Drosophila melanogaster: one gene and its partners. The protein of the gene in region 1 interacts with the protein of each later gene in a pairwise test. Each region holds a gene or a part of one and is shown on either strand. Other genes may lie near its edges.

Region 1 (4,037 bases):
GTGTGTCTGTGCGACTTCTTTGTGGCCTGGTCTCAGTACTGGCACCTCTTTGGCCTCCTAATCGGTGGCGTGGCGGCCACCAAGTTGATGCGGGTCCTGAGTCCCCGACAGATTTATAGAACTGGCATCTGGTGCCTGCTCATGTGCAGCCTACTGATGGGTCTTGTCAAAGACTTCAGTCTGCACTGTGGACTCCGATGCCTGGCTGCTGTTTCGTGCTGTTTTATGATCACCTCGGGGCAGTATATATGTAAGTAAAATTGAATATTTAAGAATACTTTAATATTAAATAACCTACTTTTCAGTTGGTGACATAACAGCGGGAAAATATCGCGTAGGAACCCTCATACTTTACGACTGCTTCTGGGCTCTGGGCTTGATTCTGCTCCCTGGCTTGGCCTCCAATGCTCCCAGCTGGCAGCACATATACTTGGGCGTAACTCTTTCCTTGCTGGTGATTGTCTTTCTGCTACCCTGGACTCCGGACTCACCGCGCTGGCAGCTGCAACACACCAAGGAAGCTCAACTGGCCATCGAGCGAACGGTGGGTATCCTGCTGGAAGCAGCCCGTACCAATGGTAGAATGCACAAAGTGTCCAAGGAGTTACCCCAGCAGTTGGAGGAGCTGAGAGAAAGGATGCTGGAGCCAATGCCCGCCGTGCATTGGATGCACTTGTGGATGGGCCAGCGTAGGAGTACTTTCCACTTGGTGGCCGTGCACATGGCACTTGCCACCTTCATGGTGGTCAACACTGGGCTGCTGCTCCATGTGCGGTCCTTTGGCAGGGAGCACCTGGTGTCCAACACACTGGCCATGGGCCTGGCCGAGATGCTTGGCTGCTTCCTGGCCCTACACCTGACCTTCAACCTGAGTGAACGCAAGTGGCAGTGGGCGGGGGGATTTGCCATCGTGGTCGGTTGCATCGGTAGCATCTGTTGGTTCCTGGCCGAGGAGGATATGCCCGAGGTGTATGGACTGACGCTGGGCTTGCTAATGGCATCACTTCCCCAGGCGGCCGTAGCCTGCGCCCAGTCCATGATTTTGGCCTGCCTGGGCGAACTGGTGCCAATGGAGCAGCGTAGTTGCCTCTCCTTCTCCGCCGTCACGTGGGCGCGGGTGTGGCAGCTCTCCGCCTCTTTTCTCACGCTGCTCAGGCAGGTGAGCCCCGCCCTCTCCCTGTCCGCCTTCTGTCTGCTGGTCATCCTGGGCGGCCTTGGCACATGTTGCCTGGTCACGCGGGACAAGGAGCAGCCACCGGTCGGAGCTGTGGTAAACAAGGGACAGCAACTTATTGCGTTCACGTAATAACGTATACTTAATATATGTCTGGGCGTATTTGATAAGTTAGTTGTAGTGTGTGTCAAGTATTCGCGAACAGTATTCGAATTTAGCTCATTAAACATTCGCTTATCGCGAATCGAATATGTATATTGGGTTGCATACTTTTGGGAATAAATCAAAAGTTCGGCATCTACACGTAGTTTGTTTAAAATGTAAAGCTTACATTAGATCAATGCAAAACTATTATAAACTATTTGGCAGAATAAGGCATTAAATAAATTAAAACTGGTTTGCATGATATTTAAATAAGCTTTCAGGAACCAGAGCCATTTGGGACCAATGTAAACCCACAAACACCAACCCTACCGGCGACCACCTTCATCCACCAAGTTGACACACATTTCGTGTGACTGGTATAATAAGTACACATGCCCGGCTAAATATCCAAGCGCATTGCTCCACTAACAACATATTTCTATTTGGTCACCTGTCCCACCATTCCCACCCAGCCAGAGCGACAAGCAGAAATCGCAAATCAATAAAATGGAAACCATAAAATTGCCAGAAGCGGCGCCACGCCAATTGGCACCACAAAGTTTGTGTCATTTGCGGAGCAGCAGTTGGCGAGGAAGCACCAGGCGGAGAGCACTTCCAGGACCAACTCCAATCAAATGCAGTGCTGTGCAGGCTGACCGACCAACTGCTGCTATCTGGATGCAATGAAGCCGAAGAAATCGGCCTTTGCCAATTCATCCACGGGATACGGCAGGAACAAGCACGGTAAAGGACACTCTGGCAAGGATAAAGTCGAGGGTGGTGGTAAGGGCAAGAGCCGAGACGAGAAGGATAAGCATAAGCATGAGCAGAAGGTGGACGAGAAGGATGACAAGGATCTAAATTCCGGCTTCGGCGACTATCTTCGCACTCCGGAGGGTCTGTAATTTTCGCTCCTTAAAAATATATAGTTCATTTAACTAATAAATATTACCCCTTTCCAATAGCATTTGAAATGATGAAACTCTTTGTCTTCGCCAATACCATAATGCTAATTGTCACCATGGCCTGGCCGCACATCAAGGAGCAATTCTACATGGTTAATCAATGGCTTGAAAGCTTCCGCGAGGAGCATCAGCAGTAGAAACCAAAGGATCTATCGAACAAATAAGTAAATCAAGTGGAAGCATACAATATGGTCGGTCCATTCATGCAGGGCCTATTCTTGATTGGCATCATCTACTGGTATTCCAAGGGGATGATGTCCATGATCAACGACTACTACAGAAGTGAGTTCCAGCGAAAGTTGCAGACGGAACCAGCAAAGACGAGGGCAGAGACACCCATCAATGTGGACAACTTTATGGATTATGTTAGGGAGCTGGACACTCCGGACGAGGTGGCTAGAATTCCGGCGGAAGGAACTGAATCTCCGCCCATGGGAAACACCTATTGCCACATCCTTCGACGATTCTTGGAGATTACCGGCACTCTACCACCATTCGATGTTTGCCTAGTTACGAGCAACATAAGATAGCCCATCCTATAATTAATTATATATGGTATCAATTATACTTAGTGTGTTTTATATGAGTTTCGTAGAATAAAATATCTTACTAACCGTATTGCATACTTAATTGTCTTGCTCTCTACATTCGAATTCTACATTGTATCCCACCATTATGAACAACAATAGAAATATTTATCCAACTTGTGGTTTTCAGCTTTTTTATTTAAATGTTTGCAGAATATATTCGTGTGTCTCCAGCATTAGCTCACTTACTAACCTATTCACAAAACTTTATAAACATACTAATCTCTATAAATATCATGGAATATATATCGATTTGGTCTGTAAGTAAGCTCTATTCAATCCAGATCTGGTCATTGCTAGTTTGCATCTGAAGCATCTCGTGAAAAATAGTTATATGGAGATATAAAGTAGTTAGGTATTTGACTTGGAAGTTATGCCATTTGGTTTATAATAAGTGCTGTCTACAAATCGCTTGTGTTCAGGTATTCGTTTTGTGGCACAAAGTGTAGAGTTTTGAAGATACCACAAAGCTGAAGATATCTTAAGTATCATTTGATTTAAGGAGGTCAGTATGTGATTAAGAGCTAGGTATTACCAATTTCATAAGAGATCCACATTCTAACATACACTACGCGCACCCACTCTTTAGCCAATTTCGTAAAATTAACTTCACAAACAATAAAATACAAAGACAAATGCCTCTCGGGCAAAATCATATTTATCTTTTTATGTATATTTTATATACACAACAGTTTATCATACATAATTTTATTATAAAATAAAAATAATAATAATTGCATTACAAATTAATAAAGCAAAGATACAAAGTAAAGTACATCGCGCAGCGAAATGATAATTCAATGAAAATGTACTTCGTGAGTTGAATAATACATTGGAATTTTCTGTAATTTCTGTAATTTAATCGAAATCATAACTTTTAATAAAAGGAAATCACAATGTCTTTCGTTGGAGAAGTTAACAAAACGTACTCAAGAGCAATGCAAAAAATTAAGGAAACACAAAACCTTTCTGAAGTATCACAACCTTTCAAACAAGGATTAACAATTGAGAGCTGGCTTGGGCTAACAAATCGAATTTCGACAATTGATTTATGGTGGCCTACTAAAGACTATATATGCATACATATACGTTATGGATATCGCGTGATATTGTTATATATGGCTAAACACGTACAAATTAGATTGCTTATGAACAAGGCAAAAATAC
Region 2 (5,415 bases), 9.1 Mb from region 1:
ACACTCAGTTGTCTGGGTAAATGTTGCCCTATTTGCTCATTGCAAACTGTCCGCCTACAAATCGTAACTTTTTATATAATGGAGCCCCGAAATCTGCATAAGTAAAGAGGCATTTCAAAGCAATTACACAGCATAAATAAAGGCATCAAACAATCTGCAGGCCGTTGTACCTCGAAAGTGAAGTAATTATACATCAAAAGCGAATCATGTCATTGTCAAGTGTTTGAACAGAGCTGAACAAGATCGGATCATACCTGAAAAGTGTGCACTTGAGTGTCTTTTGATGGGGCCACCATTAATATGCAGTGTCTTGATCGCGAATATTATTATTTTAATTTCGTTATTTCGCATTTGTCATTAATGGGCCTTTTGTTTCGTTTTCGTACAGCGTTTGTGCGAGAGATATTCGAGTTTATAGACTCTTTGAGCTTGGCTCTGGTGTGAGAAGATACTGCGTCAAGATACAGATACAGATGGGATCGGCGACAAAACATGCTGGGAACTACGTGATTGATGGCGGCACTGCGATTACCAGCCGAACAGCTGAACAGTACTGAACTCGACTTAGAATACTCGGCCCAGGCGAATATATTATAAATGCTGGGATATATGCGAAATCAGTGAAATCTTGTCGCGTCTAAAAAGGAAAATCACACAGCAAATGCAAAATTTATGAGCGAACTACGTCGAACGACGTCTCCGGGCGAACGGAGCAGGAATACCAATTGGGCTGGGTTTTCGATTGGGATTCGTATAGGGATGGAGCGGATGTGCACTGCACTCGAGGATGAGTCAGCTGAGCCGGAGGTCCGTGTGGGTTCAGCCCTGTCAGACAGATCAAACTATAAAGACAGGGTCCAGGTTCGCCGAATGTCTTTAATTAGCCAGCACGGTTTCAGAGATCTCATCTAGTAATCACTTTATTTACCAGACACAACTTGGGGTCAGCATGATAATCATATGCTATCATCACTTAATTAACAACGGAATTTTTTATACAAGATAAAAGAACATACATATAATGCAAAGTAATCCAATACATTTTCGGTTAATCATTTTGCACTTCTTAACAATCATAATGATAATCCGAAAATTCAATCGCTATGTATTCAATTATATGGAGCCTCATAATATATGATATATGTACACGCTGCGTATGAGTAATATTTACAGTTCATCTCGAAATCTTTGCTAATATTTTGAGTATTCGTCATCTTCGTTGGAATGATAACTACTAGTATACATTGGGTATGGGAATATTCAATTTTGAAACTCAACTGAATAAGGCAATTGTAAAAGATACTGGCGTAATCTTTGATTACCAGCACGTTTTGTTAATTGTTTATTAAAGATGCTTTGGAACCTTCAAAATGCTCCATTTAATAGGATGAATGGCAAGCTGTAAGCTAAGTAACCGGCGCTATTTTAACCCAAGTGACCAGCGCTTAAGTGAAGTCCGATGTACATATACCGCAAATATATCTCAAATGCTTCGGCTTTACGAGGCTCCATAAAATTGGATCATAACACTGGCAGTGTCCGAAAGCGATGCTCAGGTGCGGCAAGTTAGTACGACTATGTACATGTGTACACTTCAATCGCCAGTCCAAACTGCGCCACTCAATTTGACTTGATTTTTTTTTTAAGTTTGGCTTACCGCCCACAAAACGCCGCAGTCGCCGTCGCAGTCGACGCCACCGTCGCTGAGGCGCTGAGCCGCTGAGCCACCAAACCGCTGAGCCGCTGAGATGCCAAGCGCACCACCATCGAGCCGCTGAACGGCGCCGATCCACGGACTGAGAAGCCGCCGTCAGGTGTTGTGGTTTTTGCGAGCCTCAATCGAGCTGAGTCTGTTTTCGTCTGCCTGGCAGCGCGGTTCTGGAACGCGTAACGCTCGCATCGACTTCAAAAGTTAGTTTTCAAACTCGGGACTCAATTCGCTGGATATACAAAACCGATTCGGTTCGGATCGCGGTGCGCTCCCAGTTTTTCCACCTGTTGCAACCAATTTGGCATCGCTCTTTTCGCTACTCTTGTGCAACAGCGCGTGCTGCAGTTGTAAAGCGCGTTTGGTTAGAGAATTTTTATATATTTCGAAAGTGGCAACTGAAAAAGATAGAAAACCAAGAGATATATCCCTGTATGCCAGCGAGCAAGATTCGTTTTGGCAGATCCACGAGCCCTCCAATTAGCCAGCAATTTGCGGAAAGCCACTCCAATCCAATCCGTGGCCGTGGGATCTGTGCCTGTGCAGCCAGCAAATCGGTGAGTCTTGAATTACATGGGATTATAGACAATCTGCTCTGCTATCCGTATACCTGGTAATCGTATGACATATGCCATTACGTATATGCTAGGCACTGTAGGTAGTGGTGGTGGTAATGTAGCTGGCGTTGATGGCTTTCTAAAAAAAATACCCATATACCCAAATACCCAAAACGGGTTGGATTCGCTCCGCAGGTGCAGGAGGGGCCGACGAAGAGCTCATAGCCAATTGCCAGCACACAGGCATTCACGAAAAAATGTGTGAAATTTCATTGAATTTCCCAAATTTAATACACAAACAAACCCACTCGGCAATTGGGAAATAACTCATTGTTTTGCCATTGCAATGGCAAAAGAGTTACGGCTGCCAAAGAATCGATAATCGCCAGTTGGATTATTATATTACTCCCGTGGTCTTTGTGTATTTCAAACAAGTTTGCATTCATTCGTATTTTATATATGGCCAAACCCAAAAAATAATTGATTAGATTGGGAAAAACATTCATTACTGGATCAAGAGCAGTTCGATCAATATTTAAATTCCCACTTAGCAGCTCACTAATTTGGCAGAATAAATAATATTATCTGTGACATTTGGTTTTACAAATCCGTGACTAATTGTTCTGTGCTGGCTATAAAAGAAATTACTTGATGCTCAAAAATATACAAAAATATACATACCTTTTGTAAAAGAGACTAAAAGGCCAGAAGAGGATTTTAAATATTTAGAAGATACGCATTTCAGTGAAATGTCGCAATAAAAATGTGTTGCATTAAATATTATTATATTACGTAAATCATATTTCAGCTGCGCAGAAATGTGCAATTTGCCTCAGCTTTACAAGCCATTTAAAATCCGAACTCAATTAAGCGATGTAATTTGGAAATTAAAGTTCATAAAGAATTTAAAGAGTGGACGCCCCCAAGCCCTTTATACAACAAATACTTTCGTTGGCCAAATTTAAATGGCAATGAAATGCATTCAATGAAATATGCATGAGAATATCATCATATCGTGCTGAAATGAAACAGAGTTTAAAAAATCGATTTGTGTGCCACAATTAAATGGGCCTCAAGGATGCAATTAAAGTATCTAAGTATCTGTGCAGGAAAAACCCAGCCAACTCTTTAATTGAGGCGAGACGAGAAAATAGTGCTAAACTTCATGTCATAGCGATTCAATTAATTCGCAATTTATCAATTTTCAGTGCCAGGGCTTTTTGATGCGGCCAAACATATTTCATTTGTCCACCACAAACAACTGGTATTCCAGTTCGGATGCGGATGGGGATTCGTTGGGAGTTCGCTTCGGGATCCGTGGGCGGATGGCTCTGGTGGCTCTGGTGTTCCATGTTCCATGTTCAGTGGGCTGACGTGGTGGGGCGTCAAGTGGAAAATAATCGATGATGTGCCCGGGCACAATGCAAACATTGAATCAAAGTCAAATAGCATTAAACTTTTTGAACTTGCGAGGCGCGGCGAACATAAAAAAAATGAAATAATAATAAAAGTTTGCCCGCCTTCCAAGAGGCGTGAAAGCGCACACAAAAAAGTGGGCAAGCGGGGTAGGGGGTTTTTTTTTGGGTTCCTGGGTTTTTGGGACTCGGTGCTGCAGTTTTGGATCTCCCTTTCCAGAGATTTAGTGCTTTTCTTTTTTTTGGATGGATAAGCGCAGCGTTGCGCAAATATTTGACAAATCCCGCGAAAAGTCTGCTTATGTTGTCACCTCGCCTCGTTGCCATTTCTATCCAGCACCCAGGGAATGGAATGGGATAACTGGGATGGGATGCGATGGGATTTGCAGTGTGACTGGCACTGGGCCAGTCATGCTGATTAGGATTGCACCGAAAGACACTTGCCACTTGCCACTTACCACTTTCAACGTGCGACAATGTTTTCGAATTGAAATCCGAATCGGAATTTGCATGCGAATGCTCGCGGTGTAATTTATATTTCGCACTTGGCGCACTTTTCATTTCGCTGCGCGATTTTGTTTATGCAATTTGGCCAACTGCCTGCCGAATGCCAAAAGGAAGGCAAACGCCTCAGGCTTCAGGCTTCTGGCTAACGAGTGCAGGCGCGTGTCTGTATCTATATCTGTATCTGCACCTCTATCTGTATCTGTATCTGTATCTGTATCTGTATCTGTATCTTGTGGATAGGGAAGACCCCCCGAGATTCCCATATAGCAGGTGAAGGCGAACGTAAATGCGCCAATTTGTATGCAAGCAGCATTAATCGAGGGGTAATCCGGCAGCGATGCATTGCAGCCAGTTAAAGCCCAAGCCCAAGCCGATTCCGAATCCAAATCGAAGTCCAAAGCCAAATCCAGAGCCAGAGCCACTGCGTTTCGACCTGGCCAAGAGGGGCCGACATTACGTGAGATGTGCAATTGCACGAAATTGATTTGCAATCGATAAATGTGCGAATATTGCTTCTGCTGCGAATTAGCAGCCAAACAGCCAAACGGCCAAGTGTCCAAATGGCCAAGATATCCGAAGGCGCTCTTCGCCTTGCATTTTCCAGGCGTGTTTAAGTATGCATAAATAACTCATCGGCCGCCTGACCATGAATCCAATTGGGAACATCTTCATTTAAATTGTTTAGTAGCCGAGCAATGCGGCTGAGTAATGTTTGCATTGTATCTGCATCTGTGCCTCCGGTATCTGCACATTTTTCAAGCTGCCAAGTGGCAACGTTCCTAAATAAAGGTATGTTTTGAACATAAATTTTGTCAATTTCAACTATTATCGGGTGAGTTTGCATTTACCATACTCGTATAAAACGTACGGTTTTAAATTACAACAAAGATCGAATTTCCATGCAGATATTCTATATATTTGTAGATAAAAGTGTTACACTTGTAGCTGTTCATTTGAACACGGCCATATTAAATTCTGCATGCTCATTTAATTAGTGTAATTATATTTGGCACAGTACATATGTAGCTGCTCTGATATGTTTCATATTACACTTATTAATTATTTAACGAGCGCTGTAATATATAATTGTAAAATTCCTGCGGTCTGAATAGCCCACTCTGAGTGACAGCCAGTTGATTTAAACGGAATGTGTTCTTTAACTATAGATGAACCATTGATAAGAGGTTAACCCAAACATTGCAATTATTTATATATTTTAATGCAGCAT
Region 3 (4,226 bases), on another chromosome or scaffold:
TAAATTAGATTAAAAATGGCAATGTATAATTTGTTTCAAAGAATAACTATGTATGCCACAGGCCACACACACTAACCTGCTCGCATTTTCTCACACCCTTTGAATCCTTCTTAATCTCCAGTCGGAGAGCAAACAAAAAGCAAAAGCAATCTTTCCTTTGTGCCACGTCTCGAAAGTCTGAAGAGATCCTTGCCAGCACAGCCTATTTGCTGCTGTTTGCTCCTTTTGAGGACCTTTGCTTTTTCGAGGGTAAACGCTGCAGTGCCAGAGGTGGAGAACTTTGCAAGACTGAATAAAAGTCGGCCTAAAGTCTTATTGTTTTCTGGTTTTTATCTGAAAGCTGCTGCTGCTGCTGCCTCAGCTCTGTCATTCGAGGTCCTGTGAAGTTGGCGATTATTGTTGCAAACTTAGTTGACAACTTGCCTGCTCGTCCTGCCATCTGCACCGCCCACTTATCGCCACCACCGCCCACCCCAAGGCCATGCAGATGATGGGCCGCCAAGCGTAATAAGGCCGAAGCCCAGGGAAAGAGGAAGTCTAGTGAAAATAAACAGTCGGACAGCCAAGTTGGGCATAGTTGAGCTTCTCGGCATCTCAGCTTCGCAGTCTTGCAGTTTCCCAGTTTCCCACTCTCACAGTTTTTCAGTTTCCCAGTTCATAGTTTGCCTGTTGTCTCCCCATTGTCCTGGCCATTCTTTATTTTTCAGTCCTTCCACTCCGGCTCTATATTATTATTATGTCTTGGCCCGGACTGCACAAAGTTTTGCCATTCTCTAACGACTTTGAATTTTTAATAATACCCCGCTGGAGCTTAACAATTTTGCCATCGTTCGGTTGTAGCGGCTAAGCTTTGTTACCAATTTAATGCATTTCTTGGTTGACGGAAATTGAATATCCGTTAAGATATATTAACAATTTATGCCGCCCTGATTGCCGACCCCCAATGCGGGTGCGGAATGAGGAGATCTATGCCTTTTTTGCAGTAAAATTGAAAACGAAACGAAACGGAACCAAAGCACACAGATACTATACACGAACGAACGGTAGCTGTGGCAAGAGAGCAGTCATCATCAGGGCCATAATGAGCAAGTCAATAGCCGGGCGGGCCAGCAGCAAAGGGAAAAGTCGAGGGGAAAGCCAGGCAATCGATGACGGAGCAAGGAAAATGCCGGCTGCCAGCAGTCATGCAGCGACGTGCGATAAAAAGCAGATTGCAATTTGTTTTACTGATTTCCATGCTTTTGGCTTTATTTGCACGACGGAAACTTTCATTAACATCAAACAGAAACTGAAATTGAAGCAGTAATGGCATCGCCAGCACTCCAAAGGATACAGCCACGGGGAAAAGCTGGAAAAGCCGATCGAAATGCACTTAAATCATGGCAAGAATGAGATCTACGGCATGCTTAAGTGGCATTATATGTACATACATATGCGCATATACGAGAATGCCATTATTAAGTTGCATCCTTCATTTGCTCAATTTGGCCAGTTGACCAGCTGGCCATTTAATTGATACGGCAAAAGGTCAGGGTGATGGTAGACCCACTTGACACCTCACCAAATTCCAGAATTCTTTGGGCAAACATTTGAGCAACATAAATGCACAAGTCCTACCAACCAATTAGTTGGCAAATAATGGAGAGAAATGACTTTTCATCTCTCGACCGCAAACAAAGTCCTTTTGTATTCCACCCAGGACCTCCTGTTCTGAAATTTATGCACGGACTTGGGCCTGCAAGGATCTCGAGGAGTGGCGGACGACTCTTGTTTTGTGTTCCAAGTAATTTGAACAAATTTGCGAGACATTTTGTGGCCTCCGAGCAAATATTTCAGGCCAATGCTAACCACCCCATCATCATCATCATGGCTTGGGCAGGCCTTTTGCGGACAAAGGCCAATTAACTTAAATAATTAGCCAGAAGTTTTCGCCATCGGAGATGAATCTCAGCCTACGAGATGCTCAAGTAATTTCAATAAAATGTTATCATTCGGTTGCTGTCGAGTTGCCAGGGAAAATCCAATCAATTATCGCCCAAGGGAAGCAAATTCGTACAGAAAGTTAAAGGCCCAGGGAAATGGGAAACAAGCTGCGCCGCCAACCACAAAGAGTTGAAGTTGACGAGGAGGAGGTGAGATCCGACCGACCCCAGAAGAAGCCACCATCGTCATGGCCCTTCTGGCGCCTGGTCTACTGGCTGGGAGTCCTCATCATGGTCATCGGCATCGGTGTGGGCATGTACTTCACCCTCAAGTCGGACTTCGGTGAGTGCTCCTCCTACGACGTCCGTTGCGATTGAGTGCTCCTGGCGATATAGAAACTTCCACGGAAATGGCGGAATTCATTACCCATTGAACTTCAACTAATTTGAAGCAGCTTGGCCTGCGAAAGCAATTGTTCTACATTTAGCGAGAGTAAGTATGCCAGCAGATATTAAAGAAAACTATTTAAAATTATTTCCCAAATTAGATTTAATTAAAACTTATACACCAGTTATGTTTTCTTGTCGAAACATCAGTTTGATCTTTTTACTTTTTATCATCGCAGTCTACATTTGCCTGTTTGTTTTATATATACTCCACAGAGTTGGTGAAGATAATTAATATTGGGTTTGTAATATTATTTTTCATTTGCCTTGCAGTATAAACCAGCTTATCTTTTCGCAGATTCATATGTAAAGTTATTCATTTGTCTGTTCTCCTGTTTGAATTGTGATATGCTAAGCTTGGTTATATCACTATCAACTTACGTGCAGTCCAATACTTGTCATACATGAATTCTAGCAGCTGGATCTTAATTAAAGCCGGATGAAACAACCCACCCCACACTAGACCGCCTCCTTTATTGTTAACAATTACAAAAGCAAGGCCGAAGCCGCGCAATCTCCAGCAACACATGCAGATACATTTGTGCATGTAGACGTGTGTATTTGTGATGCTATTCAAACTTATTGGAGCGCTTCCTTTTGATGGCGTTCTGGTTGACTCTTCAATGGCGAAACACTTTTTAGTTGAATGAAGCTAGTGAATGCACATATTTTGGGTTGCATATAAAAAATCCTACGATTATTCACTGGCCCTATTTATTTTGGTGTTAATTAACGAAGTGGAGAATGGCATTCATTGATAAAAGTGTACAACGATTTTTATTTCACATATTTATGCTATTGCTGTAATTAAAATAACAATTTGAATTAAAACTCTAATTTTAATAAATAAACTAAAATTGCACACTTATGACGACACATTTTATTTAAATTACCAGCTTAGGAAGTTGATTGCTTCTACTAAACGAGACAAAAGTTATTTATTTCGGTGCGTTGGGGGTTTATCTTAAAACGACTTCTTATGAGAGGGGCCATCAGTCAAGGTCAAGCTTAACAAAGATTTGTCGGCAATTCGAGCTTTTATTTCTTTGACACTTGCCAGACTTCTTTCGTTCGCACACAGCAGGTGAAATATAAATAAACTTTTTAATGAACTTTAAGATTTATTGCCAGCAGCAGCCGCAGCAAGTCAAGTCTGACACTTTGTGGCTTTAAATTTTCGGACGGGAATGTGCTGTTTAGATAAATTATACAGCACAATATATCCCGAAGGCACTGGCTGGCTGACTGAATATTTTGAATGTGAAGAGCACCCTGCCCTGAACTAAATATTCTGCAAATAATTGCACTCGACATCGACTGAATAGACCTAGCCCACAAATAATATCTTAATGCTTGCTCTGTATTTTACGAGCTTCCACCCATTAGACGCACACACTGCGTATGCGTAATGTCGAAATAATATCATTAGTATAATTGAACATATCTTGGTGTTGGCTCGGTCAGGCAATCAGATGTCACAGGTGATGTTATAAAATTCACAAAGCAAGCGGCTGATGAGCTGATTATTTACGTTCCAACATCTTTGAGGAGATAATTAACAATGTCGAGACATCAATTATCGCAATGTTGCAGCCAGCCCCCCAAGCGAAATTGAACTTGAAAAAGTCAAGGACTTGGGACTTGGGAATTATTTGTGTCGCTCTTGTTGTTTCACTATGTATCCTTGCTGTTTCCTTAGTTTTTTCTCTCAGCTATTTCTGTTAGCCATTTCCCCCTTTCTGTTGCCAACAAATCTCACCGGCTCAAGTACAAGCGATTTGGCTGTGTATTGACCCAATTGTGCTTACTTCTCTCTTACCAGAAAACGAAAAACTTTGGCTGCAAGTTAAGCTGGAC

The links.
Region 2: the proteins of Xport-B (region 1) and wat interact in a two-hybrid assay, tested with the Drosophila melanogaster proteins (one large-scale study listed by BioGRID).
Region 3: the proteins of Xport-B (region 1) and CG17580 interact in a two-hybrid assay, tested with the Drosophila melanogaster proteins (one large-scale study listed by BioGRID).

The regions. Positions count from the first base shown.
Region 1 is NT_033777.3:19,913,259-19,917,295, reverse strand, and holds Xport-B (exit protein of rhodopsin and TRP B), read left to right. Parts: upstream 1-1,883; 5' UTR 1,884-2,001; coding exon of another isoform or gene 2,002-2,215; 5' UTR 2,216-2,219; intron 2,220-2,283; coding exon of another isoform or gene 2,284-2,420; 5' UTR 2,421-2,471; coding exon 2,472-2,813; 3' UTR 2,814-2,976; downstream 2,977-4,037. Other genes in the region: CG4465 (uncharacterized protein), read left to right, coding at 1-250, 306-1,306; Xport-A (exit protein of rhodopsin and TRP A), read left to right, coding at 2,002-2,215, 2,284-2,420.
Region 2 is NT_033777.3:29,016,873-29,022,287, reverse strand, and holds the start of wat (waterproof), read left to right. Parts: upstream 1-1,881; 5' UTR 1,882-2,265; intron 2,266-5,415. UniProt on the Drosophila melanogaster protein: Catalyzes the reduction of saturated fatty acyl-CoA to fatty alcohols. The preferred substrates are C24:0 and C26:0. Necessary for the final stages of tracheal maturation, to facilitate the transition from water-filled to gas-filled tubes.
Region 3 is NT_033778.4:12,804,620-12,808,845, forward strand, and holds CG17580 (uncharacterized protein), read left to right. Parts: upstream 1-1,994; 5' UTR 1,995-2,078; coding exon 2,079-2,300; 3' UTR 2,301-2,415; intron 2,416-2,470; 3' UTR 2,471-2,610; intron 2,611-2,667; 3' UTR 2,668-3,192; downstream 3,193-4,226.